Coturnix japonica: one gene and its partners. The main gene of each other region encodes a partner of the protein of the gene in region 4 in a complex. Links are inferred from orthologs where the notes say so. Each region holds a gene or a part of one and is shown on either strand. Other genes may lie near its edges.

What was found.
Region 1: the proteins of F2 (region 4) and F2R are in contact, whole or in part, in a crystal structure (PDB 3LU9), measured with the Homo sapiens proteins. The link is inferred for Coturnix japonica from reciprocal best matches to the Homo sapiens genes F2 and F2R. Residues at the interface, in NP_000497.1 of Homo sapiens: Phe382, Arg383, Pro386, Gln387, Glu388, Leu389, Leu390, Cys391, His406, Cys407, Tyr410, Trp413, Lys415, Leu423, Arg425, Arg431, Thr432, Arg433, Tyr434, Ile441, Met443, Glu457, Asn458, Leu459, Asn506, Thr510, Lys517, Gly518, Gln519, Arg541; in NP_001983.2 of Homo sapiens: Ala33, Thr34, Asn35, Thr37, Leu38, Asp39, Pro40, Arg41, Ser42, Phe43, Leu44, Leu45, Arg46, Asn47, Pro48, Asp50, Lys51, Tyr52, Glu53, Pro54, Phe55, Trp56.
Region 2: the proteins of F2 (region 4) and alpha-1-antitrypsin-like are in contact, whole or in part, in a crystal structure (PDB 3B9F), measured with the Homo sapiens proteins. The link is inferred for Coturnix japonica from reciprocal best matches to the Homo sapiens genes F2 and SERPINA5. Residues at the interface, in NP_000497.1 of Homo sapiens: Arg383, Pro386, Glu388, Leu389, Leu390, Cys391, His406, Cys407, Tyr410, Pro412, Trp413, Asp414, Lys415, Trp455, Glu457, Asn458, Leu459, Asn506, Arg541, Ile542, Asp562, Ala563, Cys564, Glu565, Gly566, Asp567, Val588, Ser589, Trp590, Gly591; in NP_000615.3 of Homo sapiens: Gln241, Lys295, Lys296, Arg297, Thr368, Ile369, Phe370, Thr371, Phe372, Arg373, Ser374, Ala375, Arg376, Leu377, Asn378.
Region 3: the proteins of F2 (region 4) and F2RL3 are in contact, whole or in part, in a crystal structure (PDB 2PV9), measured with the Mus musculus proteins. The link is inferred for Coturnix japonica from reciprocal best matches to the Homo sapiens genes F2 and F2RL3. Residues at the interface, in NP_034298.1 of Mus musculus: Glu385, Leu386, Leu387, Cys388, His403, Tyr407, Trp410, Asp411, Arg428, Arg453, Glu454, Asn455, Leu456, Trp501, Gly502, Asn503, Trp508, Thr510, Gln516, Arg538, Ile539, Asp559, Ala560, Cys561, Glu562, Gly563, Asp564, Val585, Ser586, Trp587; in NP_032001.2 of Mus musculus: Asp54, Lys55, Pro56, Asn57, Pro58, Arg59, Gly60, Tyr61, Pro62, Gly63, Lys64, Cys66, Asn68, Asp69, Ser70.
Region 5: the proteins of F2 (region 4) and F2RL2 are in contact, whole or in part, in a crystal structure (PDB 2PUX), measured with the Mus musculus proteins. The link is inferred for Coturnix japonica from reciprocal best matches to the Homo sapiens genes F2 and F2RL2. Residues at the interface, in NP_034298.1 of Mus musculus: Phe379, Gln384, Glu385, Leu386, Leu420, Arg422, Arg428, Thr429, Arg430, Tyr431, Arg433, Lys437, Ile438, Ser439, Met440, Lys467, Pro470; in NP_034300.3 of Mus musculus: Thr46, Phe47, Glu48, Glu49, Phe50, Pro51, Asp54, Ile55, Glu56.
Region 6: the proteins of F2 (region 4) and SERPIND1 are in contact, whole or in part, in a crystal structure (PDB 1JMO), measured with the Homo sapiens proteins. The link is inferred for Coturnix japonica from reciprocal best matches to the Homo sapiens genes F2 and SERPIND1. Residues at the interface, in NP_000497.1 of Homo sapiens: Lys384, Ser385, Pro386, Gln387, Leu389, Leu390, Cys391, His406, Cys407, Tyr410, Pro412, Trp413, Asp414, Lys415, Leu423, Arg425, Ser430, Thr432, Arg433, Tyr434, Lys440, Ile441, Ser442, Met443, Asn458, Leu459, Lys470, Trp511, Ala513, Asn514; in NP_000176.2 of Homo sapiens: Glu75, Asp76, Asp77, Asp78, Tyr79, Leu80, Leu82, Ile85, Phe86, Asp89, Asp91, Val305, Glu306, Met307, Thr308, His309, Gln327, Asp343, His361, Lys362, Arg388, Thr457, Val458, Gly459, Phe460, Met461, Pro462, Leu463, Ser464, Thr465.
Region 7: the proteins of F2 (region 4) and SERPINE2 are in contact, whole or in part, in a crystal structure (PDB 4DY7), measured with the Homo sapiens proteins. The link is inferred for Coturnix japonica from reciprocal best matches to the Homo sapiens genes F2 and SERPINE2. Residues at the interface, in NP_000497.1 of Homo sapiens: His406, Tyr410, Pro412, Trp413, Trp455, Arg456, Glu457, Asn458, Leu459, Glu509, Thr510, Ile542, Asp562, Ala563, Cys564, Glu565, Trp590, Gly591, Glu592, Gly593, Cys594; in NP_006207.1 of Homo sapiens: Val225, Arg288, Ser355, Ala356, Thr358, Thr359, Ala360, Leu362, Ile363, Ala364, Arg365, Ser366, Ser367.

Annotation. Positions count from the first base shown.
Region 1 is NC_029547.1:21,461,770-21,465,919, forward strand, and holds the start of F2R (proteinase-activated receptor 1), read right to left. Parts: upstream 2,801-4,150; 5' UTR 2,395-2,800; coding exon 2,313-2,394; intron 1-2,312. UniProt on the Homo sapiens protein: High affinity receptor that binds the activated thrombin, leading to calcium release from intracellular stores.
Region 2 is NC_029520.1:41,334,713-41,339,004, reverse strand, and holds the start of alpha-1-antitrypsin-like, read left to right. Parts: upstream 1-1,492; 5' UTR 1,493-1,512; intron 1,513-4,292. UniProt on the Homo sapiens protein: Heparin-dependent serine protease inhibitor acting in body fluids and secretions. Inactivates serine proteases by binding irreversibly to their serine activation site. Involved in the regulation of intravascular and extravascular proteolytic activities.
Region 3 is NC_029543.1:3,308,490-3,312,694, forward strand, and holds the start of F2RL3 (proteinase-activated receptor 4), read right to left. Parts: upstream 2,801-4,205; 5' UTR 1,977-2,800; coding exon 1,886-1,976; intron 1,145-1,885; coding exon 75-1,144; 3' UTR 1-74. UniProt on the Homo sapiens protein: Receptor for activated thrombin or trypsin coupled to G proteins that stimulate phosphoinositide hydrolysis. May play a role in platelets activation.
Region 4 is NC_029520.1:20,933,990-20,938,125, forward strand, and holds the start of F2 (prothrombin), read right to left. Parts: upstream 2,801-4,136; 5' UTR 2,762-2,800; coding exon 2,683-2,761; intron 1,767-2,682; coding exon 1,603-1,766; intron 1,128-1,602; coding exon 1,103-1,127; intron 924-1,102; coding exon 873-923; intron 353-872; coding exon 247-352; intron 168-246; coding exon 37-167; intron 1-36. UniProt on the Homo sapiens protein: Thrombin, which cleaves bonds after Arg and Lys, converts fibrinogen to fibrin and activates factors V, VII, VIII, XIII, and, in complex with thrombomodulin, protein C. Functions in blood homeostasis, inflammation and wound healing.
Region 5 is NC_029547.1:21,497,022-21,501,022, reverse strand, and holds the start of F2RL2 (proteinase-activated receptor 3), read right to left. Parts: upstream 2,801-4,001; 5' UTR 2,607-2,800; coding exon 2,552-2,606; intron 837-2,551; coding exon 1-836. UniProt on the Homo sapiens protein: Receptor for activated thrombin coupled to G proteins that stimulate phosphoinositide hydrolysis.
Region 6 is NC_029530.1:84,899-88,919, reverse strand, and holds the start of SERPIND1 (heparin cofactor 2), read left to right. Parts: upstream 1-1,221; 5' UTR 1,222-1,347; intron 1,348-3,269; 5' UTR 3,270-3,278; coding exon 3,279-4,021. UniProt on the Homo sapiens protein: Thrombin inhibitor activated by the glycosaminoglycans, heparin or dermatan sulfate. In the presence of the latter, HC-II becomes the predominant thrombin inhibitor in place of antithrombin III (AT-III).
Region 7 is NC_029524.1:6,887,642-6,891,141, reverse strand, and holds part of SERPINE2 (glia-derived nexin), read left to right. Parts: intron 1-221; coding exon 222-341; intron 342-1,450; coding exon 1,451-1,678; intron 1,679-2,711; coding exon 2,712-2,906; intron 2,907-3,500. UniProt on the Homo sapiens protein: Serine protease inhibitor with activity toward thrombin, trypsin, and urokinase. Promotes neurite extension by inhibiting thrombin. Binds heparin.

The DNA of each region.
Region 1 (4,150 bases), on a different chromosome or scaffold from region 4:
GATGCTTTGTTCTACACAGAGCTGTTTTGTAATTTCATTTCATGTCAGTTTTCGCATGTAAGAAGCTACTGAGAATACTGCACCATGAAAGGAAAAGTAGAGAGCAAAAAAATACAACAGCTTCAACCAATCTTTGACATCACCCTACATCACCTGAGTACCAGGGAAAAAAATAAAATAAATCAGAAGTGTTTCTATATACTTGTTTATAAACAAGCAATATTTATGTTCATCTCCCAGTGGTTGTTTTTATGAGGTGGAAACTAAACATTGGTTAAGCCAGTTAAAGATGTGCCACTGGATAACCATTTATATTGAGTTCCGGACATTACTGACTGCGGTGCTGCACCACTGGCTTACAACAAAAACAGTGCTCCTTGTACCTCCCCTCTGTATAACCGGCATCTAGAATCCATATTTTTCAGTGGCATGTAAATTAAGTAAAGATAGAATGAGATGTGCAAGTGAGACATGTTCATAAGGAAGCTAATCTTGTAGGAGAGATGACAGTGACTACCTTTTGTAACAACACACACCATAATTTTTAAAATATCCTTTGTCAAATCTCTCCATTTATATAGTATTCATTTACTGTATTACATAAATGACTCAGTAGCAGTTTTAACACAGCTTACTTAAGTACCATTTTCTTGCAAACTGTTCCTTTTTGCTTTCCTTTCTCCTTAGTTTTTGCTACAAGTGCTGGCTCCAAGCCATGGCAACATTTCTCTTTTCAGTCACCTGTTGCCATACAGGAAAGCGTGGGCCAGTTCAGACCTCAGCCAGCATGCTGCTTGGCTTTTCAGAGGCAGCATCTGAAGAGCTCAGGAGCAAGTGCCCAGCACCTGCTACAAAGCTGCCTTCTTCCTCCTGTCTGCAGGTCCACCTGAGGCCAACAAGGTGGGAACTGTGGATGTTGAGTGAACAAGGAGAGAGCAGGGAAGAAGCTGCAGGTGCAAGGACAGAGCGAGCCTAGGAACAGAGCAATGCAGATGAAAGGGGATCTAAGTACACTGTGGTGAAAACAGGGCTGCTGTGGGGAAATGACACTGCTGAGGGAGTGGGTGAAATGAGAGAGAAGCCATGCTCAGTTGCTGGGCTTTATTGCTTCCATTGTGCATCAAATAATTTGGGCTTTTCTCAGCCTCTTATCATACAGTAACTACATTCTTCATTGTTTCCTAAGGAAGCAGCAAATGAATGATGCACTTTAGGATGTCCTTTAGAGAAGACTACACTGCAGAAAGCAGGAAAACAAGCTTGGATGTTTCTGGAAACTGGAATAAGAGCATTCAGCAGTACAGTCTTCTTCCAGCATTAACTTCTGTAGTTTGTTATTACCTCCCACGCATGCATTCCCCCCATTTCTTTCAACAAGGACACTTCCGTTCTCTGCCAGCATAAACACACTTGTGGTCTCCTTATTCCCTCATGTCCCTGTGACAATAAGTTGTATAGCAGCACTAGGTTTCTCCCTCTGGTCCTTTCCTCCCAGCACAAGCACCAGCTCACTCCTCTTTCAGCCTTTGTTTCAGAAGGCCTGCTCCTAGCTGCAGACCCTCTGTTCCAGCTCCCTCAGCAGGAGCGCTGTGCTGAAATAAGTGTTACACAGAACCTTGCAGAAGAATCCTTTGCTATCTGCAAGTGCTTAACCTAGCTCTGCACCACTGCACCTCGGCTAGAACCCACAAGGCTGGGCATGTCTTCTGCACTCTTTCCCTGCACGCTACACCACCAAGTCGGGTTTTGAACCAGATGGGTCGGAAGTCTCATCCGGCAGAGTATACGCTGTCATCGGTGTTATTTCCAGATGAACAAAGAGGAAACTCATCTAACTGGAGAGCCTGCTCTGAGCTGGCTGGTGCCGGCACACCTCCCCGGACTGGTGCTACCTGCAGACTCGGCAGACACGCTGCCTCTCGGAGCTGTCAACGCGCTTCTGGGGCACCCAACTCCGCATCCCACCGCCCATCACAGCTTTTCGCCACTACCTGCTACCTCTCGGCCACCCCGTCAGCCGCCGGGTGGCTGTAAACCGTTCTTTGTTTTCGAACACCCGGCATCATCTGTATTCCAGAGCTGTAGCATTCACTTAAACAAGACAAAACAAAAAACAAAGAAACCCACCACCGATCAACACTTATCTGGGCAAACCGCAGCAATCAACGCCGCACGAGCACCCCCACCGCAGCGCTTCAGGGCTCCGAAGCGAGCAGGCTCTCCCCCCAAACTCAGGCCGGCGGCAGAGCCGAGCCGAGCCCCCGCCCGACCCCTGGCAGCCCCCGCCGCGTCGAGACGAACCCGCGACTCACCGGCTCGGACGGCGGCGGCGGGGGAAGGCAACAGCGGGCAGCTGAGGACGGCCAGGGCGCAGAGCAGCGCGAGCAGCCCCATGGCTGCCGGAGCCCCGCGGTTCGTCCGTCCCGGCCACGCCGGGAAGCGAGTGAGAGCCGGGAGGAGCCGGGAGGAGCCGAGCCTGGCCGCCCCTCGGCCGCTGCTGGGAGAGGCGGGGGCGCCTTCCTGCCGGGCGGGGGCGGGACGGTCCCTAGTGGGAGGGATGGGTGGTGCCGGGTTCGCCGCTGGGGCTGGGGGTTGTGGTGCTGCTGGCTTGTAGTATCCCACGGGTAAGGAGAAGTGCGGAACGAGGGATTTTGTCCGAAGGTTTGGGCAGGCTGGAAGCACAAAACAACCCAACGCTATTCCTCGACCGCGTGGCTCTCACGCCCGCTTTGTTCCGTCTGGGCGGGGCTGCTCCCAGTGTTGCGGCACCTGTGCGGGTGGAGGGCCGGTGTGCTGGCGCCCCGACGGAGCTGTAGAGGTAGACGGCTTTGCCGCTATCGTTTAGGCTGTGTTTGCTGAGAATGCTATTCCACTCCACCGGTAGTTTGAGTGTATTTTATTCCTGAGGTATGTGCTGCAGTCATAAGCATTGCACGTCCCGTGATTTGCTGGGCTATGCAGCCCTGCCCTCAACTATATACACGTGTGTTTAGAGCAGTACAGGAATAATGGGAGGAGGCCTCTGTTCAGAACTGGATCAGTTACAGTTGTGTTATTACTGCAGAAACACTGATACTTAACTGAGAATAACAAGGATGGGAAGTCAACTCTTGACAGCAGGAGGATCCAGTGCTAATCTTATCTTGCTCGGCAGTGCACAATTCTGGCCACTGCTCTGCATTATCACACTGTTAGGCTGACTGCTGTTTGCACAAAGCAAGCAGTGTGATAGCCGTACTGCTGGCCGACCCTTCTGCCACCAGGTAAGAGGTGGTTGCTAGTTAGCAAGAGACATATCCATAGCCAAACCTCTGTCATCCTTGGACACAGTGGGGAGCCCACAGAAGATACCTTTTGCTTAATCACAAACTTAGCTTCTATCAATTTAGGAAACACTTCAATTAGAGGTTAGTTATTTTTTTTTTTCTGTTTTGGAAGATGGAGTGAAACCTTGGGCACTTCTGTGGTCTTGCTGCTGTATAAGAATATGTGAAGGTAGTGTAACAGTAGAGGCTTTCAATAGCCAATGTTATCTTTTTGGTGTATGCACAAGCAGAAGCTATTTGAGGTCTGAATTCATCTACCATGCTGCAGTTTCCATAAAGCTGCGATAGCTGAGAGAGGTGCCTTCAAAAGATAGAGAATGAGTTACAGTATTTACTGGTGGGATGTCTGTGTGGGAAAAACTCACTGTGCCATCCATATAAACACCTATTATTTTAGCAGATTCATTTCACTGAATGAAATTCAGGCACCCTGTGAACACGCAGAGCTCTGTGTATGTGCTTTCTGTCAAAGGCACTCCATTTACATAGCCTGTATTTATAAGACTCAAATGTGGTTTTAATCTTTGTAAATGTGCACAGCAGAGTGACATTGATGACCTAAATGTAGATGGCCTTGAAAAGAATATGTATAATCAAATATGGAACTAACTCTAACACACCATATATAGTAAAAACAGGCCACAAACCTAGTTCAATTCCTTGCAGATGTGGGAGCATTTTAAGAATTCTGTTTTACTGAGAAATGCAAAAGGAAACATCTTTCCAAGGGTTCAAACTGGAGATTAGAGAGGTGACAGATTAAGGTCCACAGTGGGACTATGTCCTCAAGTTGTGAGGACTTACATGCTTTGAACACTCTGGTT
Region 2 (4,292 bases), about 20 Mb from region 4:
TGTGGGTGCAGAGAAAGTAATAATAGGCTTGAAGGAAAACAAGGAAAATAACATATTTAAACAGCCAGAAGCCAGTGCCCATACACAGGTCTTTGTTCCCAATGCTGTGTGGTATTAGCTAGGAAGAACAGCATGTAATATAGGCAACAGCCTTAAAGGTCATTCACTGAAAAGCAAACTGTATATTCTACTGGAAAATTTACTGATTTTGTATTAAATGCGATAACAAATAGGTACCCATATTTCAATAACAATAGAAGGCAGGGGCTGCTTAAGGAGAAAAACAAAGCTGAAGTACATAGTTCTGATGCCAGTGTATTCTCATCAAAAGGGAGATATCACAGAATCACACCACAGCCAATTTGCATTTTTATTTGTTTTCTAATACATGAGAACTTACTAATCAGATCTTGTTACTAATTATCTTGATACCGGATAACTCATTACATTCCTGTGCTGTATGATACTGTTCTTTTCTCCATGTCGTCCTCAGGACACTATGTCAAAGAAAAATGTTAGCAAAGTTATGAAGTAAGCCATGATGCCCCAATGATAACGAGATAGGAGACTCAGCTTAATGCCAGCCTACTGGTCCTAGAGTTGATCAATGATCAAAACACCCACAACATCTTTTTTGCTGGAAAAAAATTATCCCCACAAATTGGTTACTGCCAGTCATATCCCAGCCCCATCACTCAGAGTTTTGGACTTCTCAGTATCAGGTATGATGTATTTCATTATGCATTCAGCATAATAATAAATAAAACCCAACCAGTAACTAGCAGATACCTCTGGGCAATACTAAATAAATTTCTCAGCTCTCTGGTGATTTTTCACTGAAACAGTAGCTGTTAGGAGAACAAAACAAATGATGTAGTTCACACTGAAGTAATGTTAAATCAACATTTCTGTTGTTTATTAGATTCCTGGTGTATGCTCTGTCATTTGGCCAGGAATAAAATATCTGTGGGGCAAGATGGAAGGTCTGTGGCTATTTGACTCCTGAAAGTCTTTGGCAAAGATTTGTATTTCTCTTCTTCAGGTACAGTATAGTTTAAGTTGGGGTTTTGCTTGCCTGTTTGTTTTTAATCTATTATATATCATAATTCTTGATTAGGAAAGTACGCACAAAGACATTGCAGTATTGTGATAATTGTATTGTGACAATAAAAACGTTTATGAATACAATCACTTGAAGAACTACTGTGTTTCACTGTTTTACTCTTGTTTGAAATATCCCTCCTGTGCATACTGAACTTTACCTTTTCCCAGGTGTATGGCAATTTGGTAATCACAGCCTGAAACTGATTATCAGCTGAGGCAAGTGTCAGCTCAGCTGTGGGAGCACAGGTGAGAGTAATTTAGCTGTGCTCCCGGAAGGGGTGGAGCTTGACTCCACCTCCTCTAGATCTCATTTAAGGGCTGACCACCACTAAGGCGGCATCTCTTGGAAGTTGCTCCTTGGTGGAGATTGTCTCAGTGCTTCCCAGCAGACTGAAGGCTTCTACATGGGTGAGTTTTTCCTGTTGATAACTTTTTAGATATTTATTACCACCTTTCTTGTACCATTACCATCTTTACTTTATTGTCACTGTGCACCAGGCTACATCTGCAGCATTCTTCAAGACAATGATTGACAGGATGTCTGACTTTGAATTTCAGTTTGATTTCCAGGAGCTGCTTCTAGATTACAGACACAGAGACTGTCAGAACATCTCTCTAGCTCTTCCTACTTCACTTCCCCAGTAAAAGCAATGTGCTTCTACTTCTAGAAATCTATGAATGTTTTGGACAATTTCAGTCATAAGCCATTTTGATGTGGGGAAAAAAAAGTAGGTTTACACTGTCCATCAGAAACGGACATAAGCAATGCATTCTTTATTAGGGCTGCTTGCTTTCCAACACATACTTCATGTCACTCATTCTGTCTGGGTAGCTGGTTTTGATACTTAAGAGATTTCTCCTATTAAAGTGGATCTGAATGAGTTTGGTATGAGTAATGTTGAGAATGAATGAGAAATGAGAAATACTTCTCAAACTTGTTTCACAGTATCTTCAACAGCATGTAAACCACTAGATGTTTGGATTAAAAAGAAGGAAAATGGGAGAGCTTTCTTAGCAGCTGATTTACAGGTTGTGGTTGCTTTATGCTGTGTAGAGTGTAAGCAACACAACAAAGTGCAGAAGAAGACACCTTGGTAAAGAGACGCCTTTTGAGTCTGAAGATAACATTTGTGTTACAACCCATATTAAAAATGGAATAGATTCCTATTTTCATTCTATAGGGCAGTGAGGTTGACAGCAGTGAAAAAGGGAGTCATCCCTCTGCAGAACATGGACCAGGAAAATATCTGTTTTGAAATAAATATTTGGGCCTCACTTTCTAAGATTTCTATTTCTGTAACATTTTTGTTTGCATTTACTGTACTACATACTTATGATTTTGGGTTTGAGTTCTTTTAAGTCTGATGAATTGCAAATGAAACTCAGAGCTATTCCAATCTCAGATGACTCACTTTTTGGCCGGATTTTGAATGCTGTAACATGTAGAGTCTGCTTAGTGCAATAATTCACTTCCTGAATTAAAAAGAAATGAAGAAAAAATAAGGACAAAATCAAAATTGGGTAAACATACATATGTAATTATAGTACTTGATTCTCTTCTAAAAACATTCCTTTTTTTGTAGCTGTGTTGCTATACGAACTAAGACACTACAGATAAAAACTTTCATTTAATTCAGTATAGCAAAATGAAGGAACAAACTGACTCAGAAGCAGTGTAAAGGGTCTGATTTGCCTCATATTTCCATTGCTTTTAGCAGCGAAGTCTATGCTTATGTAATTTCTCTTTTACTGACATTGATCTCCCAAATAGTTCATCCCAAGATCCCCCAGAAATTCCAGCTCTGTTTTCTTTCCAGAACACTCAAGTTGGATATGACATGTATGCTTTGGATGGAGGTGGAATTTGGGTGGAGAAAGATGCTGAAAGGTCAAGAGAAGTTTAAGGGGAAAACAGCCTTTCTAAACACATCAGTATTCATGGAGTTTGGCAATACTGAACTAACCACTGAGGCCTAAAGTTTAGATCTCATTTCTGTGGCTAAAACTGAGGAAGTATTTTTGGCACACTGGATTTAATGGGTGTTCCAGTCTTTCTTGAAGAATTACTTCAAAAACATAATTTAAAATTCTTTCTTTTCTCATTGTATATATGCTGGCCTTTGAGCTCAGTCATATATCTGAAACAGAATCAGTTAACCTCTGTTAATACTGATGGCATTACATGGATAGGTGCCTAATTTTCATTATGCTTTCTTACCGATTTGCCAATTCTATTCCTCATTACATTTTAAATGGCAGCCAGCAAACAAGTTCACTCCCACATACTCACTAGTCACCTCAGTGACTAGCATAGCTCAAGAGCTGTAAGATACTTTGACATTTCCCTGGAAAGCAGCAATGTATTTGAAACCTGTCCTATCTCCAGGTGCCTATCATCAGCAGTGCTGAGCTGCATAGGTTTTACAAGTGGGTCACAGCAAAGTTAGCTGACAAAGCATTTTATTCTCTCCTTTGAGACATTTCACTGCCTTTCCAATGCTCTCCTGGGGTCCAAATTATCCATGTAGATTTGGGAACACAAAGGTCTCACCTATAACCTGATAGAGACACAAGAGCAACAGAGCCATGGCAGTTTTCATTCAATTCCTACTAAACAAGATCAAGCTGAACGAATACAACATCCTCACTACAAATGATAGCCTAGAAATATCAGGGCAATGTCAAAGAGGAATGATGCTGAAGCTGTCAGAAACTGAAAAGAAGATGAACAGTTTCAATATGGAAAATTCTAAATGAGTACTTTTTTTCTGTTATCATGAGGTAGTCCAGTACTGGGAGAGGCTGCCCTGAAAGGCTGCGGAATCTCCATTTTTTGGAGATCTCCATCCCATCTTTGCCTCTTGATCCTTGTGTAATTTGCTTACTGTTTAGCACGATGTTCTTGAAGTTCTGTTTCATTTTTTTAATGGAGAATATGCAGAGGTTACACTAGCAAGGATTGCTGAATATGGACTTAATTCTTATCTTCTCTCTTTGCGGAGATCTTTACTGTCTTAGATAGCAGTTTAAGCTGTCCATATCCAGAAATATAGAAAACCTGGCCTAGAAATATAATTTTGAAAATGTCAATTATAATGATGTGCCGCAAGAATCAACATGTGAACAACAAAAGTCTAATTTCTGAGGTGATAGTTAAGTAAGTTACTGTGGTCTTAAAACTATGACTC
Region 3 (4,205 bases), on a different chromosome or scaffold from region 4:
TGAAGTCCTGGTGCTTTGTCCTATCCCCACAGTGTGGTGGGAGTGCCTTGGGGGCAGGGAGCTGGGATGGGAGCTTAAACCAGTGATTCCTTGGAGCTTTTCTGAGGGAGTGTTTCTTTGGAGGTTTGTAAGGAGGGTGTTTTGCTGCGATTGAAGAATGTGCTCCTCACCTTCTCCCGGAAATCTTCTGATACGTAGTAGTAGACAAAGGGGTCAGCACAGCTGTTACAGGTGCTGATGGCCAGGCTCACCATGTAGCTGATGTACAAACTGCCGTACAGCTTGCACTGATAGCTGGAGTAATGAATGAGGAGTAGAACGTTGCTGGGGGTATAGAAGGCCATGAGCGTGACCAGCACGAGAGCTGTGAGCTTTATGGAGTGGGCGTACCGCTTCCCACTGCCCAGGAGGGCCTGCAGAACTGAGCAGTAGCTGAACAGCATCACTGCCAGAGGAACAAGGAAAACACAGGTGATGAGGCAGATGAAGTAGTAGAAGTAATAGCCATCGTCCTCCTGCCTAGGGAGAACATCGTGGCACAGAGTGATGTCTGCTCTGTACAGGGGGTATGACTGCTGCTGCAGAGTCAGGGGCAGAGTGATGCCAGCAGCACAGAGCCAGACAGCAGCACAGGTCCAGGCAGCAAAGGCAGGGGTACGGAAAGAGCGTGAGAAGAAAGGATGCACCACTGCCAGGTACCGGTCCACACTGATGCACGTGAGCAGCAGCACTGAGCAGTACATATTCCCATAGAAGAAAGCTGTGGTGACCCGGCACAGACCTTCCCCGAAGGGCCAGTTGTTCCCAAGGAAATAGTAGAATATCTTGAAGGGCAGCACTGAGATGAGCAGCAGGTCTGCTACAGCCAGGTTCATCAGGAAGATGGTGGAGGTCAGCTTCTCAGTCCTGGTAGCCAGAACCCAGAGGGCCAACCCATTGGAGGGCAGCCCCAGCAGGAAAACAAGGCTGTAGAGGGATGGGATGAGCAGCACTGTGACCCCACTGCTCAGCTGGGAGCGAGCAGCCTCGTGCAGCAGCAGGTATGTCACATTATCTATCCTTGCCTTCTCACCGGGGATGGCTCGGGGGCATGGTGTGATCTCTGCTGTTGTTATCTGCTCGCCGGTGCTGTTCTGAGAGTAATCTGTTGGTGTAAATGCAGTCTGTTACTTGCTGCACGTGTTAATATGAGTGCTTTGCAGAGCAGGCTGGTTCATGATGCTAACACCAGATTCTAAGGTGCTGCATTTTATATTGGTTTCGAGCAGTGAGAGCATTCTGCAAAATGCTCATGTGTCAGAAAAAGCAGAGATGGAGTTAGGTGTGCAGCAGTGTCTATCAGGGGCCTTACTGCAAACTGACACATCTGTTCTGCTGTGCTCTGCTTCCCACTGCTTGCAATTGCTATGGAGCTCAGTACCAGGGGAGCAGGGCACAATCCCTGGATCCTAAGATCCAGGGCCACTCCAGTGCAAAGCTGTGGCTGTGGGAGCTTAATTTTTAGCTGAAGGTTTTGGTTTCAAGTACTCTGTTCGACCCCTCTGATTCTGTCTCTTGCTACTTTATTCTACGCCGGCTTTAATTTCCCTTCCATAAGTATCCCGTCACCTCCTGTTTTAAGTAGAGCAGGCACGAATCTCGGTGAGCATGTGCTTTCAGATCATAGAATCATGGAATGGCTCAGGTTGGAAGGGACCTTAAAGAACATACAGTTCCATCCCTGTGCCATGGGCTCAGTGCCCCTCCCCATCCATGTCATTGGGCACCTCCAGGGATGGAGCACCCAGAATAACGTTTCATAGAAGGGTTCTCAGGGATCTTTTAGAAGTCCCAAACCTGTTGTACTTTAAGAAGCAGTTTTTCCCCCCCAAAAATGCCCACTCACCATCGTAGTCCAGCGCTGCCAGGCACAGTCCCCACACAGCACAGCACAGTGTGAGCCGGGGTGCCAACCACCCGCTCCTGGAGGTCCCCATGCTGCTACAGGAGCTGCACTGCTGGAAGGCAGCTGGGAAAAGCTGTGTGAGCGGCTGTGCTTACGTGTTTCCTCTTTGCAATCCTTAACAGTCGGAAGCACTGGGCTCATCCTGTCACGGCATTCCAGTGTGGTCCGAGCAGAGATGTAGCTGCAGTGTCAGCTGGGGGGATGCACGCATCCAAACCCATAGGGATCATCTGTCAGAGCTCAAGTGATTCATTTGGGTCTCCTCCCTGCTCTGGGCTGTTCTTGAAAATAACAACAATCATGTTTGACGCACTTTGAATTTGGTTTGGAGTGTAAACTGCACTGAAATTCCTCTGGGCTCTGTGTCCAACAGCATCCTTCTGCTCAAGAGGGATCTGAGCAGCACTGTGCAGTGCTTGATGTCCTTCTCCACCCTTCTTCAATGCCTTTGGGAGATGTCATCCCCACACACAGCCATGGAAGGCCACAACCTCCACAGCTCCTGGGGCTTGCAGAGCTCTGCTATGGCCTTGGGGACAGTTCAGGGTTTGGTTTCTGCCCTGCAGTCCCCATTTTGTGTTCAGCCCACCATAGCTCTGTTTCTTTATTTCTAATCCTGCTTCCCTCCCTCCTTGCTCTTGCTGCAGAGGTTAATTAAAGGCCACGGGGCGAGGAACTGTTTGCATCTGAAGGAAGCAGCAGCCGGTGCTGTGACGCACAGAGATAAGTGGTGAGGTCCGGACCTGATGGAGATGTGCTGCTTCCGCCGATAGGCAGGAGCTGGGTGAGCTGAGCCCTCCTGCAGTGCAGGGGCTGACGTGGGTTGAGGAAATCTCTGTGCTCTGGAAGATAATGGTGAACTGCAGCCACTTGTGCCCACACAGAGCTGTGTTTTTTCCAGGGATGAGCAGCCTCCACCCAACGCCCCCCAGGAGAGCAGAGCAGTTTGCCACAACCAACTGCCTGCACAGAGCTGTAGAATCATAGGAGGGCTTAAGTGAGAAGGGACTGCAAAGATCACCCAGTTCCAGCCTCACTGCTCTGGTGTTCCAACCCTGATGGCTCTGGAGAGCTCCATGGCCCCCTCTTCTTCTACTCTTTGTGATGTGAGGCTGTTCTGCGCTCTCACGCAGCACCATTGGGAGAGGACTTGGACTTTCCCTGTTGCCTCTGTGTTCCCTTCCCAGCAATGAGGGCACAGTTGTGGAGCGCTGGGTTGGGGCTGCCTCTCCATGAGGTAAGGATGGAGCTGGAGCCCAGGCAGTAGGAATTGTAAATTTGGCTTGGCAACCTGAAGAGCAGTTCATTTCTGTTTCTTCGGCTCATGAATGGCCTCTTCTGTGGAGGCTGCAAATCTGAGCCTGGCTGCTGTTCGATGAGATTCCTCTATTCCAGGGAGAAAATGATCCTATTTCCTTTGCTTTCACCATATTCTCACATCCCTGTGTTGAGAGGTGGGGTTCCGCTGGCAGGGATAGGGAAGATGCAATGTTAGATGTTTTGCTTTTGTGATTCCCTCAAGATTTATAAACCATTACAACATGACTCATGTGGCCGCATATTTTCCATGCCTCAACCAGGATCCTTTCCATGCTCTGTATGCAAAAAATTAGCCATAATCAGGTGCAGATAGTGTGCAAATCACAGCCCTGCTTCCTACAGATGGGTCTCTGGAGTGGAGCAGGGTGAGGTTATTCACTGCTCTATCCTTCACTTTTCAAATGCTGTGTGATCTTCAGTGATTGCTTTAGATGCAGAACAGCTTGCTTGAAAATTCTCATGCCAGAAGTTTGTCACAGCTTGTTAACATCTCATGTGCTCCCTTCCCTGTCGGGTAACAGTTTGGTTTTAAAGCTGCTCATTGTGCAATAGGTATCTCCTGGGAGAAAGCACTCTTTGCTTCCATCACTCTGAACCCTGAGCAGTTAGAACTGGAACAAAGGGGAGGGAGGGATTTTAGAGGTGTGAGGGAGGTACAAGCAGCACCTGCCCTGCTCCACATGGTGCCTTTAGGGCCTGATTGATCTGACTTTGGGACTCAGGTGCATGTAGCAAGGTTGAGATTCCAGCTCTGTTCCAGCAGCTCAGCTGCAAACCAGCAGGTGTGAAGAGAGAACTAGTGCAGCTGAATCCTGCCCTGGGCTGAGCTCGTGTTCCTGCTGCAGAACGAGAGGCAGCAGCTCTGGGCAGAGCCAGCAGCATGCAGCGTTTCCACCGCTGTCAGCACAACCTCACATTTTCCATGAATGCAATGCTGATT
Region 4 (4,136 bases):
GCTGGAGAAAAGCTGGGATGTAGTGCTGAGACATACCACATACTGGAATGGGACACTCCTCCCGTTCCACTGTTGGGTCTCGTGTGTAGCACCACGGACCTCTTGAGTTGTTGTCTGGGTTCCTGCAGTAGTTCTCAATGAGGTTGGGATAATTGGAGGCGTTGAATCTGTGAGGAAAGGGTGGTTAGGCTATGAAGGAAAGGCACCCTGGAGAACACTGCAGGGGAAAGCAAGAGATGAACTTACTTAGGTATATGTGGATATTTGCTTGTCCACACTTGACATTCAATGCCCGATTTGGTGTAGCTAATTGTCCCCCGATAGTTCTGGCCCAGATTAACAGCACAGTTACCTGTCAAAATCCCCAAACAGGTGAGCCTGGGTCAGTGGAATGGATGTTGTATTTTTCAGTGTCAGAAGTACCACAGATTCCTTTAACTTTGTGGATGTGTGTGAGCCTGCACAACCATGGGCATTCTTTTTGTAAGATGGGAAGAGCACATCACTTAAACTTGCTCTGCCTTATCAGATGGAGCTCTCCCCGAAGCTCTGTGCTTTGCTTTGGCTATAAGGCACAGGCTAGAGAAGTTGGCCTCTGAGAGGCCAGTCTAACCTGGAGCTATACTCAAGACCACATTACTTTGTCACAGGGATAAGGGTATCTACCCTATGCCATTTCAATGGAGGAGTAAGGCAGTTTGTAAAATAGATAATGGAGAAATAAAGAACAAGAAAGGCATTTAAAACTCCCCTTGTTATTTTTCTTTCTTGCCAACTTTAGATTATTTTTGTTTTTCCTTCCAAAATCTGCATGAAGCAAATTCCTGGCACTCAACGTATCTGGGATCTTAAGATCTACATTCACTTCTTACCTTCTAGACAAGCATCCAGAGTTGTCCTAGGCATCTTTGTGCCCTGACATACTTGCAAAATAAGAAGAAAGAAGCACGTTACATGAAAGAATCTAAACAAGCATCATGGTTTGAACCAGATTATCATCTAGGGACAAAACACAAGTGTTTTTCTTGGTGAGTGAGCTCTTTTAAGAGGGTAGGGAGCCATTCCTCCAGGATGGGTTATGGAGGAACTTGAAGCAACGTACCTTGGTATTTTGCCCAAAATGCATCCTGTAAAAGCAGAGAAACAGAAAAATCACCGTAAATATCGAGGAGTAGAGATCAGCAGCACATCAGTTTCAGCTCAAAGAGGCTTGAGGCACCTGCGCTCAAAATTTGTTTGCTGTCAGCTGTTCTTTCAGTGTCTGGGCCTGTGGCTGTTGAAATGTGTGTGGCACCATAGTGAACTAGTAGATGAAGATGAAATTCTTATCTAATGGGGTTGAGGGAAGGCTCTGTTTTATTTCATTTCACGCTTAAAATAGAGAGGGAGGAAAAAGAATTTGAGATTTGTGGTGCGTTTCCAAGAGTGGCTTTAGGAGGGAATTTCCCTAAGGATATCTTGTCTCCCCCTGGGTGACAGGCACAATAGCTTTCCATCTATAGCACAAAATTGTCTGTTATGATCCCAGCCCCTGGCTGTCTGTGACCCACGTGTCTCACGGCAGGAGCTGGCTGCAGGACACCGATGTGGCCTGTGACGTACCGTGTCAACAGTGGATTCAAGGGCTTCAAAGGCCTCTTCGTAATTGCATGTCTCCTCCAGGCACTCTCGCTCCAGGTTTCCTTTCATCATCTCTTCCAGAAATCCCTTGTTGGCACGTCGTGGACGCTTGAGCAGTGACAGTGCCCGCCCCTTTTCCAGGAAAACTACCGAGTCAGAACACTGCCAGTCAAAGGGATGCTCATGGTGGGAGGGTCCCTGTGTCTCGAAGTTTTCACTCAGCTGGTGTAATGCTCCCACAGCCCAGCCTCCCCAGCTCACCGTACAGATAAGGGAAGCTTTGTCAAGGACCTGTGAGGTCCACAGCTGATGGTCAGAGCAGCCTCACTATAATTCATCTGTCAGTATTGGCTTCGTCCAGGTCACAGAAGTGACAAGAATCTTCTGCTATCCTTGGCAAATCTGCTCTGCTAGTTTGTTTGTTTGCTTGGAGCTTGCTACTGCTGTCTGTCAACCACTGAATTTCTATCTTGCCAATTTCAGACTACTGCAATAGGCATAGGTAAAGTCAATCTTCATCTTCACAGGCCCTGATCTGAGACCTGTGACAGGTCTTGCCCCACACAGCAGTGGGATAGAAAGGACCCGAACTCATATTAAAAACAAGTAGATGAAGTAGAGGCTCTAGTAAAAGAAAAAGGAGCAGTAAGCAGGAAGGCTGCGTACTGTGTATGACCTAAACTTCAGATAAAGGATGGCTGGAGAGGCAATGCAGAGTTGCAGCCAGTGGGGTGAGCTGAGGAACTAACAAGCCCCACAGCTGTGCTACACGGGGTCTTGTTCTGAGCCACATTCTCCTCCACCATCAGTCAGGTGACCTGTGAAATCCACTGGGCTGTTGTCACAGCTTTCCCTGCCAGCTGCTGGGTGCTGCTGCATCCTCCTGGGCAGGGAAGCAAAATACTCACTCTCCTCTCTGCACCCTTTCACTCCCAGTTACAGGCTTTTAGAATCTCCTTCTGCACTACCTGGAAAACCCTCTACAGGCTTTACCACCCGAAGGAATTAAGCCCATCCTCCTTCCTTAATCACCCAGTACTGCCCATCTCCCTGTGTTCTTACCTCCATCGTGGCTCAAGGTGAGGTGCAGGAGGCTGAAAAGGAGCAGGCCCTGCAGCATAGTGGCTTTGCTATGCACCATGCTGCACAGCCCTGGCTGCAGAGGAAATGCAAAGGGAGCAGAATAAGTGGAGTCACAGCCCTGCTGGGTTAATATTAAACCAGAATGAAGAAACAGGACTCCAGAGGTCATGGTGTGTCAGGGACAGCAGGACTGAGGCTCCTCTTATCCCTTCTCTCTTGGCATCTTTCCCTCCCTCTGGGGCATTTTCATTTTCATACTTAATTAGTGGAAACCAAACTGAATGTCTTTGGACACTCCGCCACACTCCAGATTAAAATTAGCATCCCAGTGTATAACATGGCATGAGGATTAAGAGGATACGTTTGTACCAGGGCACAGGGAGAGCTTGGGCTGGTAGAGAGGTCCCTGCCAGCTGCCCCAACCCAAGCAGCTCGCTGCTGCTCTCTGTGTCACCCTGCTCTCCTGCAGCTCTTGGCATGACTGCTGCGTCCCCATCATCAGGGCTTGGTTCCCTGCTGCAAAATCTTCTTGGATGCTGTACTCTAGCAGCCTCACATGTAGCAAGACTTGGAGATCTCCTTAGCCATTCCCAGTCCTCCTCCTGTTTTTAGTTGCAAGTTCCATCCCTTTCCCCCATAGAGTCCAGCTGTCTTCTCTCCCCACAGTTATCAGCAGGTTCAGTCTGTTATTTGGCACGAGAACACACAATTTAAGTTTCTTCCATCTCCCTCACCCATGCCAAGTAGCAGAAGGGGTGCTGGCTGCAGTCTCTGTGGATTTTCAGTTTTCCTCCCAGTTAGGTCAGTAATGCCATCCTCAGTGTATACTTCCCGTGGCATTATAATTCCCAGCGGGGTGGAGGAGGGTGAAGTAGTTTGAAGTCTGGTCTCTCCCTTCTCTTCCCACGCCAGTGGAACACATTAAAGTACATCCAGAAGGAAACAGAAGCTGACAAGCAAGCAGCAAGCACACCAGAAACAGGCAGAAAAACAAAGGCTTGTGGGAACAGGAAGGCAAGAGTTATATGGGTGCCACAACATCAGCTAACAAGCAAGTCAAGAGTTGAACTACCACAGCTGCGAATGCTGTAGTGATTCCTACATGCAGAAAGTTGGAATGGTGAGAGAACAGCAGAAAACAGGGCAGGGTTGGAGTAGGCTCAGAGGCTGCTACAGGGCATAAATGTGGTTTCTCCCAGCAGAGAGCATGTTTTGTTCTGTGCCTCTGTGCAGCAGATACAACTGTAATGTTTGTCTCCATAGAAGGAGTGCAAATATTAGCATTAGGGTGGCTCAGGAATGACTCTGTGGCCGTTGGTACAAAGAGCAGTTGCAGAGGCTCCCGCCCTCATCTAACAGGAGTATCCCTACTCTCGCCCACCACACCTGGATTCTGGAAAGACACCTTTGGGAAAAGCCAGAATGACCTGTGT
Region 5 (4,001 bases), on a different chromosome or scaffold from region 4:
CACATACCAGAACCACTCGTGAGTCTTGAGTGTTCGTATAATTGAAACATAGCAGAAAATGATGATTGCAAGAGGCATTAAGAATCCAAAGATAGCTAAAGAAACATAGTAGTAGAACTGGAAAGAAGATATGCTTTCACAGGTGCTATGCACATCATGGCAGGTGTAAATGCCCAGTTGCTTCACATAATAGCTTTGCTGCATTATGCAGAGTGGGAGCATGTATAAAAAGACGATGGTCCACACAGTGGCACAGACAGCAATGGCATAGGTGCGTTTTGGCAGGCTCTTGTAGGTGAAAGGGTGAACGATGGCCACGTAGCGACTGACACTGATGCATGTGAGCAGCAGAATGGAGCAGTACATGTTGCCATAAAATACCACTGTTGTAGTTCGACACATAATTTCTCCGAAAATCCAGTTGTTCTTGTTGATATGGTATGCTATTTTGAATGGCAGCATGATGCAGAAGAGCAGATCCGAAACAGCCAAGTTTGTGTAGAGTATGGCAGTGCACACAGACCGGATCCTGAAGAGCAGCATCCACAAGATGATAGCGTTAGATGGTACACCCAGTAAAACAGCGCTGAGGTAGACAGTGGGTATTAGCTTGGTGCTCAGAGAACTAGTCAGGTATTCCAACGTGGTGTTGTTCACTTCTGTTAAAGTGGAGTCATTGTACTTCTTCACAGAGCTTTTGTTTTCCTTGGTATGGATTGTCTTTGTCTCCCCTTCTATAACATGAGGTGGGATGTAATCATAGTCTCTTTGTGAAATTCCACGGAAAGTCTTGATAAGAGACACAGTTTTAATTGCAGAATCATTCAGCGAAGACTCTAAAGTTCAAAACAAGAAAAAAAGTTAAAACAGTTAAAATAGGCGAACTAATGGGTTGGGAATATAATTTGCCTTCAAGTGAAAAAACAACCTGTGTTTATAAAGTTTGGTGGTGCTCCCTGTTGCTTGGCTGTTCAACTGCTCATGAACAATCTTTATTTATTTGTAATTTCGAACCCAACTTTGAAAATTCATTGTGAATGTAATGCTAAACAGACTTTTCCTGCTCATGAGGTGCTTTCAGTCATCCTTATCAAAGTTGTCCAACACCAGTTTAAAGGTTACCTTGTATGTAAGCTTTTGCAAGGTGGTAGCAGTATTGGTTATTTGTTATATAAGAAGCAAATTTGGTCTAGACTTGGTAAGAATTTCCAAGCAAACGGCAGTGCTGTCCTTGTCACTTAGTGAATGAAATACATGACTGGAGAAGATGGAAAGAGCACAGGCTGGAAATTTCAAATTTGAAAATAATTCTAAAAATAATTTTGGTCTCGCACACCAAATTAAGATTACGTTCCTGTATTGGATTCTGACTAAGGCAAAACTAAGACCTTTCAGCACCTTGTACGTGAGGAATGATGGTCCCAGAACCTGAATGCGAACATTTACACTGATGTTAGATCAAGCTCACTGGAAGGTGAATAAAATTTCTCATGCACCAGGAATATGTTTTGAATCAGTAAATATCAGTGACTTGTGAGCAAAGCCAGTGATGCTGGTTAACTTCTACTGATGCCTGCTCGTCAGTGCTTGTTGGAGAGCTTTGTAAAGGCATCTACATTTCCTACTGAAGTATGAATGTGTTTCACACATAGTCTGAAAATATTTTATTTTGCAGAATAACTGTTGTAGAATCAACAGCTGCATGAAGAATTCTTGCATTAAAAAAAGAAAGGAAAAAGAAAAAAAGAAAAAAAGAAAAAAAAAAAGCCTTGGCTGTGTTTAATGCCAGAAGGCTTCACGCAAGGCACAGAGCATGGATCTTGAAACTGAAATTTGGAAGCAAACTGAAATTTGAATGAAAACTTGGGGGTGCTTCCAGCTTGAAACAAAACACGGAAAATAGCTTTATTCAGACTCATTGCTGTGAATCTGGCAGTTTTTTGGTAGAGCTTTTAGAAGTCATAATTAGTACACCTCCATCCCTTTTACTAATCTTTGGGGTGATTAATAAAAAAATAATTTCAGATGCCATTTAAAAGTTAGGTGCAAGTATGCATATCTGTTTTTATACAAAATGTAGTTTTTAAAATGTCTTCATTTGGAAGCAGCTGTCGTTTTAGTGAATTAAAAAGCAACTAGACTTACTGTTCAGTTATTTCAGTGATTTTTTTTTGTCACAACAATTCTCAGAAAATTTCCTTCTAATAACGTGGTCTGAGGCTGCAGTTCTGTTGAACGTTTCAAAGTGGAAGGAACAAGACTGTACAGGTTAAAGAGTATCATCTCACTACAGAAACATGAGATATGTTTTTCAGGACGGAAAGAATGATCCCTTAGGTAAAAACCCCTTACTGAAAATGACTGGGAAAGAGGAAGGTAGTCCAAGGTATCACTGAAATGGAATGAAGTTCTGCCTAAAGTGAAACTTGCTGGAGTATAGCAAAATGCAACGGTGTGTGCGCAGCCCATTAAAGCCAGTAAAGCACCAGTGTTATCAGAAAGCAAATGTTATCATCTAAAGTAGAAAGCTGATACAGAAAGGAGGACTGACCTGTTGTAAGAGTTGATGTTAGAGAGAGCAGTCCAGTGAAAACCAGAATCTTCATTGTAGTTTTCTAAATCCAGATACCAAAAAAAAAAAAAAAAAAAAAAAAGGCAGCGCAGTTCTAGTTCATCTCAGAGGCGGGGGGGATTTTCTTCCCTCTGTAAGGCACTAAGGCACAATTGATCTGTCCTCCAGAAGCATCCTGTAGGCATGAGATTTATGGCAAGGAGCTAGTTTGTTCTTTGTCTACTACAGCAAGAGGGTGTGACGTATCCAAATATGCACACATGACTCAGTTTCAGCCTCTGCCCAACACAGAGATTAAATTGCTTTACAGCAGCAGTTTAACTCCTAATTTACCACAGCCCTGAAGGTGATGGCAGTGGAGGGAAAGGGAAGTTCAGCTGGAATTTCTATGTACAAGTGTTTGGGGAAAAAGGTACCTTCTGGAAAACTGTTTACTAAAGGCTCAGACGTCACACCCCTGGACTAGAAATTCTGTACTGCTGAACTCTGTATGCTTCCTGGGGAGAGGCCAGAAGTGGGGAAGAGTGTGGTGATCGTGGTTTAGAAAATGCAGAGGCGAAAGTAAACCTCAGGGATACACATATGCCTTAAGACAGTGTTGCTGTGCTTCAGTTCCTCTGCATCCACCTAACAACCAGCTGTGTCTGCATCTCAGCCCAGCTGTTTGCTCTATTCAGGACATTTTACCCCCTTTTGCAGCCTCTCATAGTTTTACCTCATTTGCTGTTCCGTTGATCCCTTCCTGTTCCTCTGCCTGTGTGGGTGTTTTCTGTTGTTTTTTTAAATTCACTTCCATACTCCCCTCCCACCACTCCCACCTAAGCCAAGAAACAGTGGCTTTCTTCCAGCAGACAAAATTATTGTGAGTTCTGGTCTAGCTTCCAAGCTAGTGGCAAGGCTCAGTATAAACAGGGCTTGGCTCCAGAACAAAATCTGTATCTGTTTTTCTATTTAATGTGCTGAAACTGAACACCAGATAAGAAATTCTTCTCAGTTTCGCAATTCATTGCTATAAATTCAGCCATAGTTTGGGAATTGAGTAAATGCACACTCAAAAATTAACTCCAGCTTTCTACTACGCCTGTGTGCATCCACTGTCATGCTATTGCCTAATACTACTTGACTTTATTTAGATATTTTAGTGTATGTTTACACAGAGGATTGAAACAGAGGTGTTTTTGTGCCATTTTTTACCCTATTTTCTTTGCAATTTCTATGGATAATATATTTCTTGAATTTTTGACCTAGAGTTGGTCTGTATGACAGCAATATCCACTGTGAAGATGGTTCCAGGAGCTGTTTGACTTTTTCTCGCTTTTATTTTCCAATATATTTATGTATGCGTGTATATGTTCCTATATTTTGTTTGAACCAGTACATTGCTGTTTCTGTCATCATCAGACTCTTTTAGGTCTCTCACACTTACTGC
Region 6 (4,021 bases), on a different chromosome or scaffold from region 4:
GAAGAAACTAATACAATATTACTAATGTTATACTGAAGAAAACTCTATTTTTTCTTAAGACAGCATAAATTCAAGATGACAAAGCTAACTTTATGTGGTTTCACACAGGAATACCAACATACTGATACAGTAATCCAAAGAGAACACCTTATATTAGCATACATCAATTGTAGAGAGGAAGAGACCACACAGTCCTTTAAACTGTGAGCTAAAGACAGCTTCATGAAGTTTTATTTTAGCACAGAGGAACTCAAACTCAAAATATTAGTCAAACATACTTCTGGTTGCTATTGTTTATTGGATTTGTGGAAATACACTGAGGCTCCAATTGGGGATCTTTTATTGTTTTCACCCACGCATACAGTGACATCAGTCCTGGAGAATTTACTATCTAAACAAGCAAGTAAAAGAACATCATTTTCAGCACATCTATTCAAGTTGTCGGATAGCCTTTTCACAGACAGCTGCTACCACTGGAGCAGTTTATACTCTCAAATAACAAGATGACATGGAATTCTTACAAATCTACACTGAAAATCTGACAGTCTTTTACTCTAAAATTGTTAGCAGCATAGACAACATTAAAAATAATAATAATAATTAAAGGAAAGCTTTACTGAACTGTGAGCTTTATCTAATACGACCAGATATTATAACTGTAGACTTCATCTATCTAATCTATACTGAAGAGATTTTTTCTAACTGCAAAATAATTCTGCTGTGGTATGAAAATGCAAAGTACTTCAGTAAAACCTTACATAAAGCTAATTCAGAACATATTTATCTTAGATCAGTCTGCCATTAAAAAAAATAACTAAAAATTCCTATACTGCAGTAAAATTAACCTGAGTCCTAGCTGGTGAACAGCACTGCTGGGCTGACAGCAAATGTCTGCAGCAGTCGCACAGTGACAGAAGTAGCCAGCCTCACAGACCCAGTGGCCCCAACCACATTTGAAGTGACATACAAATAGTAACATAACATCATCTCAGCACAAAACAGTGGTGACATGGTTTCTGCTAGTCTTAAACAGCCAAGTTTATGTGCATACTTGACTGTGAAACTTTACATACACCAATTTTTGCTCAAAGATTTTCCTCAAATATGAGCAAATAAGTACCTGCAAAGCCATAAAAGAAGTTCAACAAACAACAAACCAAGCAATCCAGCAGAGATCACTAGGCAAGGGAGGGATTTTGGCTGACGAAGTAAGTTTAGCAGTGTTTGGTTTAGAGAATGTTTACTTTGGGAGATACACAAAAAACTAGCATCAAAGTTCAGATTTAAAACTTGCCATTCCCCTCACTTGAGCTATTCAACACATCTTTTCCACAGTGGGACTTAAAGGTAAGCCTCATTCACATCCGTTATTTTAGGTAAATCTGACACAAATGCACATATACTGCATAGTATAGGAATGCTTTGTTTGTGTAGGTGGAGATGAGCACCAATTAAACTTTACTGAAGGTGAGAATTTAAAGTTGGGAACAGTACTGACAGCAAATTCTTGTATGGCAAAAGCAGAAAATATTTTTCAGTGGTTAATGGACAGAGAATGCCAGTCGAGAGAGAAAAAAAAAATAAAAAAATCACCTTTTTCTTTTCTGGGGGTGGGGGAAGTAATAAAAGAAAGATGAATTTATGAAGAAATGAGTTCTCCTGACTCAAGTCCTTTAATCACAATGTAAATCTTTCAAAATGCACCTTTTAGTGACCTTTCATCATTGTAAAGACAATTCATTTTTACATGGGATAATCACCCTTTTTTTAAGGTTTCAAGCTAATTACTTTGAGAGGAGAGTTCAGAAAATTAAGTCTTAGCTTAGTTACTTCGATCCTGTTAAGAGCCTGAAAAGTGCTGCAAGCAATGCTTTACAAATTTGTGCATCTATGCATTTTACTTCTACAGCTTCTTGGTCTATTTGCTAATTTGCAAAACATTTTACTCAACCTCTAAGTAAAATTTTACTTGCATCATATTCAACATTTTTTCCTACATTTTAAATCTTTGTGGGGTTTTTTTTGTTGTTTTTTTTTTTGTTGTTGTTTTTGTTGTTTTTTTTTCCTTTACTCAAACAAGTGCTGTGAACTGAAATTGATTTTATAAAATCACCAAATAACTTTCTAAAGAAGCACTGTCAAAAAATCAAGACCCTGGCATTCAGACACCCATTTTGCAGTGTCACCTGACACAGTTATTGTATGCTCGTGTATTGGTCTTTGATTACTGCAGGAAGAAATTAAACTTTTTAAGATTACTGTAATTACTGCAAGTCAGAATTATGGTGAAAACCTACCTCTTGTCAGATGAGTAAGGGTGACAGATTAAATTCAAATTATGTATCTAACATCAGTTCTTGATTTTGAAGTTGTGACAAAAAACAAAAACAAACAGCAATGCACTGCCCAGAGACAAAGAAGAGACCAAGCTCCTTTTTGGGAAAAAAAAAAGCAGGTTCTGCTGACATATACATATGTAAATATGTACATTAAATATTATTTTATATATATGTATATCAAATATTAATATGTATATTTAATGTGTACAGTAAGTGAAGATAGAAATCTATCATCATGGTAACACTAAGACTGGAGGAACAGTTACAGACATGAACTTAGAGGATTTCACACAATGAAGAAAACAAACAACTCTGCATATTGTGCAGTGCTGCATAAAAGTAGAAACTAAGTAAGAAGCAGATTCAAGAATCCAAACGGAAGAGGCAGACAGATGTACCACAGTTGTAAAAAGTGAGCACACCCATGGAGTAACACAGAAGAAAACAAACAGGCCAGAACATTTAAATACTTTACACGCTGCTGTCCCACTAATAGCATAGTGCAGATAAATGTCTACAGCCCAAACTTCCTTTTTTTTTCCTCCATCAAATTTCAGCAGCACTGTTCCAGAAATTCTCCTTTTTTTTTTTTTTTTTTTAAAATAACACAGTCAGTAAACATTTTAAACAATTCTATTTTACACATAAATACATCAGCGTATTTCAGGTAATTAATTTGTCATCACTGGAATATGTCAACCACTACTTAAGCAGGAACTCAACCAATTATCTAACAGGATGGAGACATTATGTATACAAGAATGGTCACCACTAAAACAGGTTACCTATCTACTTAAGACAGATAAATGCTGTCGAATAAAGTAACTGCAGACTTTGTGACTTGACAGAATCCACCGAAGACCTAAACTTACGGAACAGAAACAGACAAAATTCAATTACCCTCTTTCTTCCAACTTTGTTGTCTTCCAGGTTTTCAAAATGAAGTTCCTATTTCGTTTGCTTGCTGTGGCTGTCATCATAACCTCCACGTTTTGTGGAATCAAGGATTTCAGTGACCATTTTGAAAGCCTCAAAGATGCACATACACACGAAAATGGAACCTATGAAATGCCAGACCTACCACTGGAGTTCCACAGAGAAAACACTATCACCAATGACTTGATTCCTGAAGAGGAGGAGGAAGAGGATTATCTAGATCTTGACAAGATATTGGAAGATGACTACAGTGACATTATAGATGCTGCTCCACACATAGTTTCTGAAGTTCAGCAAGGAAATATTCTGGAACTTTTCCAAGGCAAAACCAGAATCCAACGTCTTAATATCCTCAATGCAAACTTTGGCTTCAACCTTTATCGTAGTGTAGCAGACAAAGCCAACTCCTCAGACAATATTCTCATGGCTCCTGTTGGTATTTCCACTGCAATGGCTATGATTTCCCTGGGTCTGAAGGGTCAAACTCAGCAGGAAGTATTATCTGTTCTTGGCTTTGAAGACTTCATTAATGCCAGCACTAAATACGAGCTCATGACTGTACATAACCTCTTTCGGAAACTCACTCACCGGCTCTTCAGGCGCAATTTTGGTTATACTCTGAGATCTGTCAATGATCTTTATATTCGAAAGGACTTTTCTATTCTTAATGATTTCAGAAACAATATGAAAACATACTACTTTGCTGATGCCCAACCAGCTGATTTTTCAGATCCTAACTTCATAAC
Region 7 (3,500 bases), on a different chromosome or scaffold from region 4:
ATACTCTCTGTGAGACACAGAGGTTCTCAAACTTCCCAGAAGGTAGCCTGTATCTTGCTATAGAGACTTGGTATAGCAACCTACCTGTCTGTTAGCACAGGCTTCCTCTGCTTTTGTTCAAGATTGCCTTACAGTTCTTTGGCAGCTACAGCAACTTCTTTGGAAGGGTAACAGTTGGAAAGTATTTAATCTATCTTTAGCTGTCTTTTAATGCAATTTAGCAGCTGGAAGCAAGGAGGAGAGCCAGCGTCATGAGACCAGCCAGCTCTCCCCGGACCACCAGCAAGTGCTCCGTGGACCACCAGTGGTCCACAGAATACAGTTTGAGAACCTCTGTTATGGTATGTTCTCCAAAAGGGTTTGCTCATCATATTGGAGAGTGAACATGTAGGACTTCATACAAATGGTAATGCTAAAGCATTCACGATGTTATAAACAGCAAAGCCATCTGAGGCTTTTTCTTATATATAGCTAAGAGAATAACTCAACTAATTTATTCCCTTCATAGCTCATCTCTTAAGTTTGTCTACATAGGGAAATAGCCTGGAATTGTTCCTGCCTAAATTGTATTGGGAAACAGAGGGAACTCGTTAACAACTGCAGTGAAAACAGCCACTCAAGTATCCTGTCCAGTGTAATGGTTGAACATTAAGATTCTTGTCTGGCAGTATCTTCCCCGTGTAGACAAATGCTTATTCGTAAGCTATAATAACATGGAGTATGATGAACATAGCAGTTCTTCTGTGCTGCCATTTACATTCTCTTGTATGCAGTGAAGGAGCTATCAAGCACTCAATATGAGCTGCTTTCATATCTTAAAGATCCCAACTGTATTTCTGGGAGCTTATACTGCTTTTCTTTTTTTCTTCTTTAAAGACCAGCTCATGTTGAGATACTGACTTATGCTTGTAGCAAATATAGTTTTCTGAAGGACTGTGTCCTAGCTGAAGTCTGAACTTGAACCTGATATAGAAATCTTGATGGTTTCTACCTATCTATGGATGGTGAAGCAGCTTAAGCTTTGTGCTCTGAGATTCAAGACCACCTGCAATTGTCAGCTATGAGCCCTGGACTTTGTCTTTGCTGTATGGCTGACAGGTTGTGGTTTTTGCATAGTGTGGCATGTTTTGAAGCAGCATCTTCTGTAGATGTAATTCTATACTAAGAATTGAACCCCAATATTTATGCTTAGCATTGTCTGGAGCATCCTCTGTGGACTGTTAGACAGGGAATAGGCATCACAATGAAAGTAAATTTCCTGGGAAATAGTAGCGCTTCTCAGGCAAGAGATCAGAAATGTCTATTTTGGAAGCCCTCTCAGAATTGGTTTGGTTTTTTGCCTACTTCAGCACTTTAATGTCTGACCTTTCATGTCATTAATAGTTGCATATAAAGTAATTGTTTGTTTGTCATCTTGTTCTAAATTAAACTTGCTGTTCTTTCCAACTAGGAGTTGGTAAAGCGTTAAAGAAGATAAACAGGCTCATAGTCTCAAAAAAGAATAAAGACATTGTTACAATTGCTAATGCAGTATTTGCAAAGAGTGGCTTTAAAATGGAAGTGCCTTTTGTTACAAGGAACAAAGAGGTGTTTCAGTGCAGTGTCAAGAGTGTGGACTTTGAAGACCCAAATACAGCCTGTGATTCCATCAACCAGTGGGTGAAAAATGAAACAAGGGGTGAGTATTAGCCAGTATTTTCTGTGCATGAGTGGCATCTGAGACCTCTCAGATCCGACTGGGAATATTGGAGTGAAATAGAGAGGGAGGAAACTGCCTTGCAGTTGGAAACTATCAATAAGCTGGCAAGTACGATGTGTTTTAGAGTCTGTTTGTCAGTGCCTTAGCAGGTGTACTTGTGTGATTTGCGTGTGTGCCTGTCCCTCTGTGAGATTGAAAAGCTTCTACTGTTAATCATCTGTATTTAATCTGCAGGAAACCCAGGCAGCGTTCTCTTGAAGCTGGGTGTTGTCAGATATGAGGGGAAGAGGGAGTAAAAAAGCTTGAAAGTGGCTCAGTACATCAGACTTGGAAGTAGTCAACAAAAACTCTAGGGCAGTTCAGCTTTTGCTGTAATACCCTAAATTTTTGTGATGCGTCACTGTTATTAGGAGTAATGTTTAGTAGATTTTTAATTCACACTGCCTTGACAGAACTCCTCATGGTTCAAGTGTGCTGACGTCCATTTGTCTAGTTTAGATGTACCATAGACAGAGATGGTGCTTTGCAACATGGCCATAGTCTAATTGATTACATGCTTAGTATCTCATGGAGTTAAAACTAGATGTGAGGAGTATGTTGCTAATGATGTTGGATGTGCCATTTGTGAAACAAGGATGTCAAATTCTTTCTTTACCATGTCACCAGCTTTGCATAGCTATGTTACAAGCTGTGTGTGAAAAGGGGGGAGTGCTTCAGTTGAAACTGTTATCACTGTGACCTCCTTACATTGAATCTTAGATCTGATCACAAGCTGAAAAAGGTAAGGCCCAGTAAGCTGTAACATCAGTTCATAGGTTAGCTAGATATGCTGCTTGTTTTCTAGGTATCCCAAAGGGTTACTTTTTAAAACAAAGCAAAAACTATTGACTGCATGGGTCTCAAATCTTATACAATGAGTAGCTGGCATGTTCACAGACATTCAAATGATTTGAACTAAAACGTGCTTCACTGTCTTTATGGAAACAAATACTTATCTTTTTTTGCTTTCTAGGTATGATTGATCAAGTTGTAGCTCCAGATGATATTGACAGTCTAACCAGGCTGGTTCTAGTGAATGCAGTGTATTTCAAGGGCTTATGGAAATCACGATTTCGACCTGAGAACACAAAGAAACGGCCATTTTATGGAGCTGATGGGAAGACCTACCAAGTTCCCATGTTGTCCCAGTTATCAATCTTCCGTTGCGGTAAGCCCAGTGACTTTCAGTGAATACCTCAGAAGGAGTGGTAAAAATTTTGCTCTTTTCCTTCAAATGAAAGAGTGCATTGACACACTTATTGCAGCTGATAGTGGAGACTGTGTGGTTATGAAAGCATTTTGTACTGGTAAGGTATGGGTAAGGTTGCTATGAAAGGTTGCTCTAGGTCAAGCACTCTAACAAAGTACTTCCCTTATCCTGCTTTTCAATGAAGTGAAAAACATGAAGTACTGAAACTGAGAACCTTGCATATTTCCTAAGCCTTGCAGTAGGAAGAATTTTAAGAGATGAGAATGAAGGAGGGCTGCCAACAGAGACTTGAGGCTTATCTGCTAATGAGCTGTAAATAAAAGATTGGAGTAGAATTAGTGTGTGTCACAGTGTAATAAAGAAATGGAACGTGCACAATCAACAGTGCTGGGGGAGCCAGAGGAGCACGTGTTCTTCAAATTCAAATTGAGTCACAGGACAATAGTTCAGTAGGTTTGGCCTGAGTTCTGTATGAGAAGCTTGGAGCTGATGTATGAGTCTTGATATGACTAACAGTGTACCTCAGCATGTAGGTGTATGGGTACTGGTAAA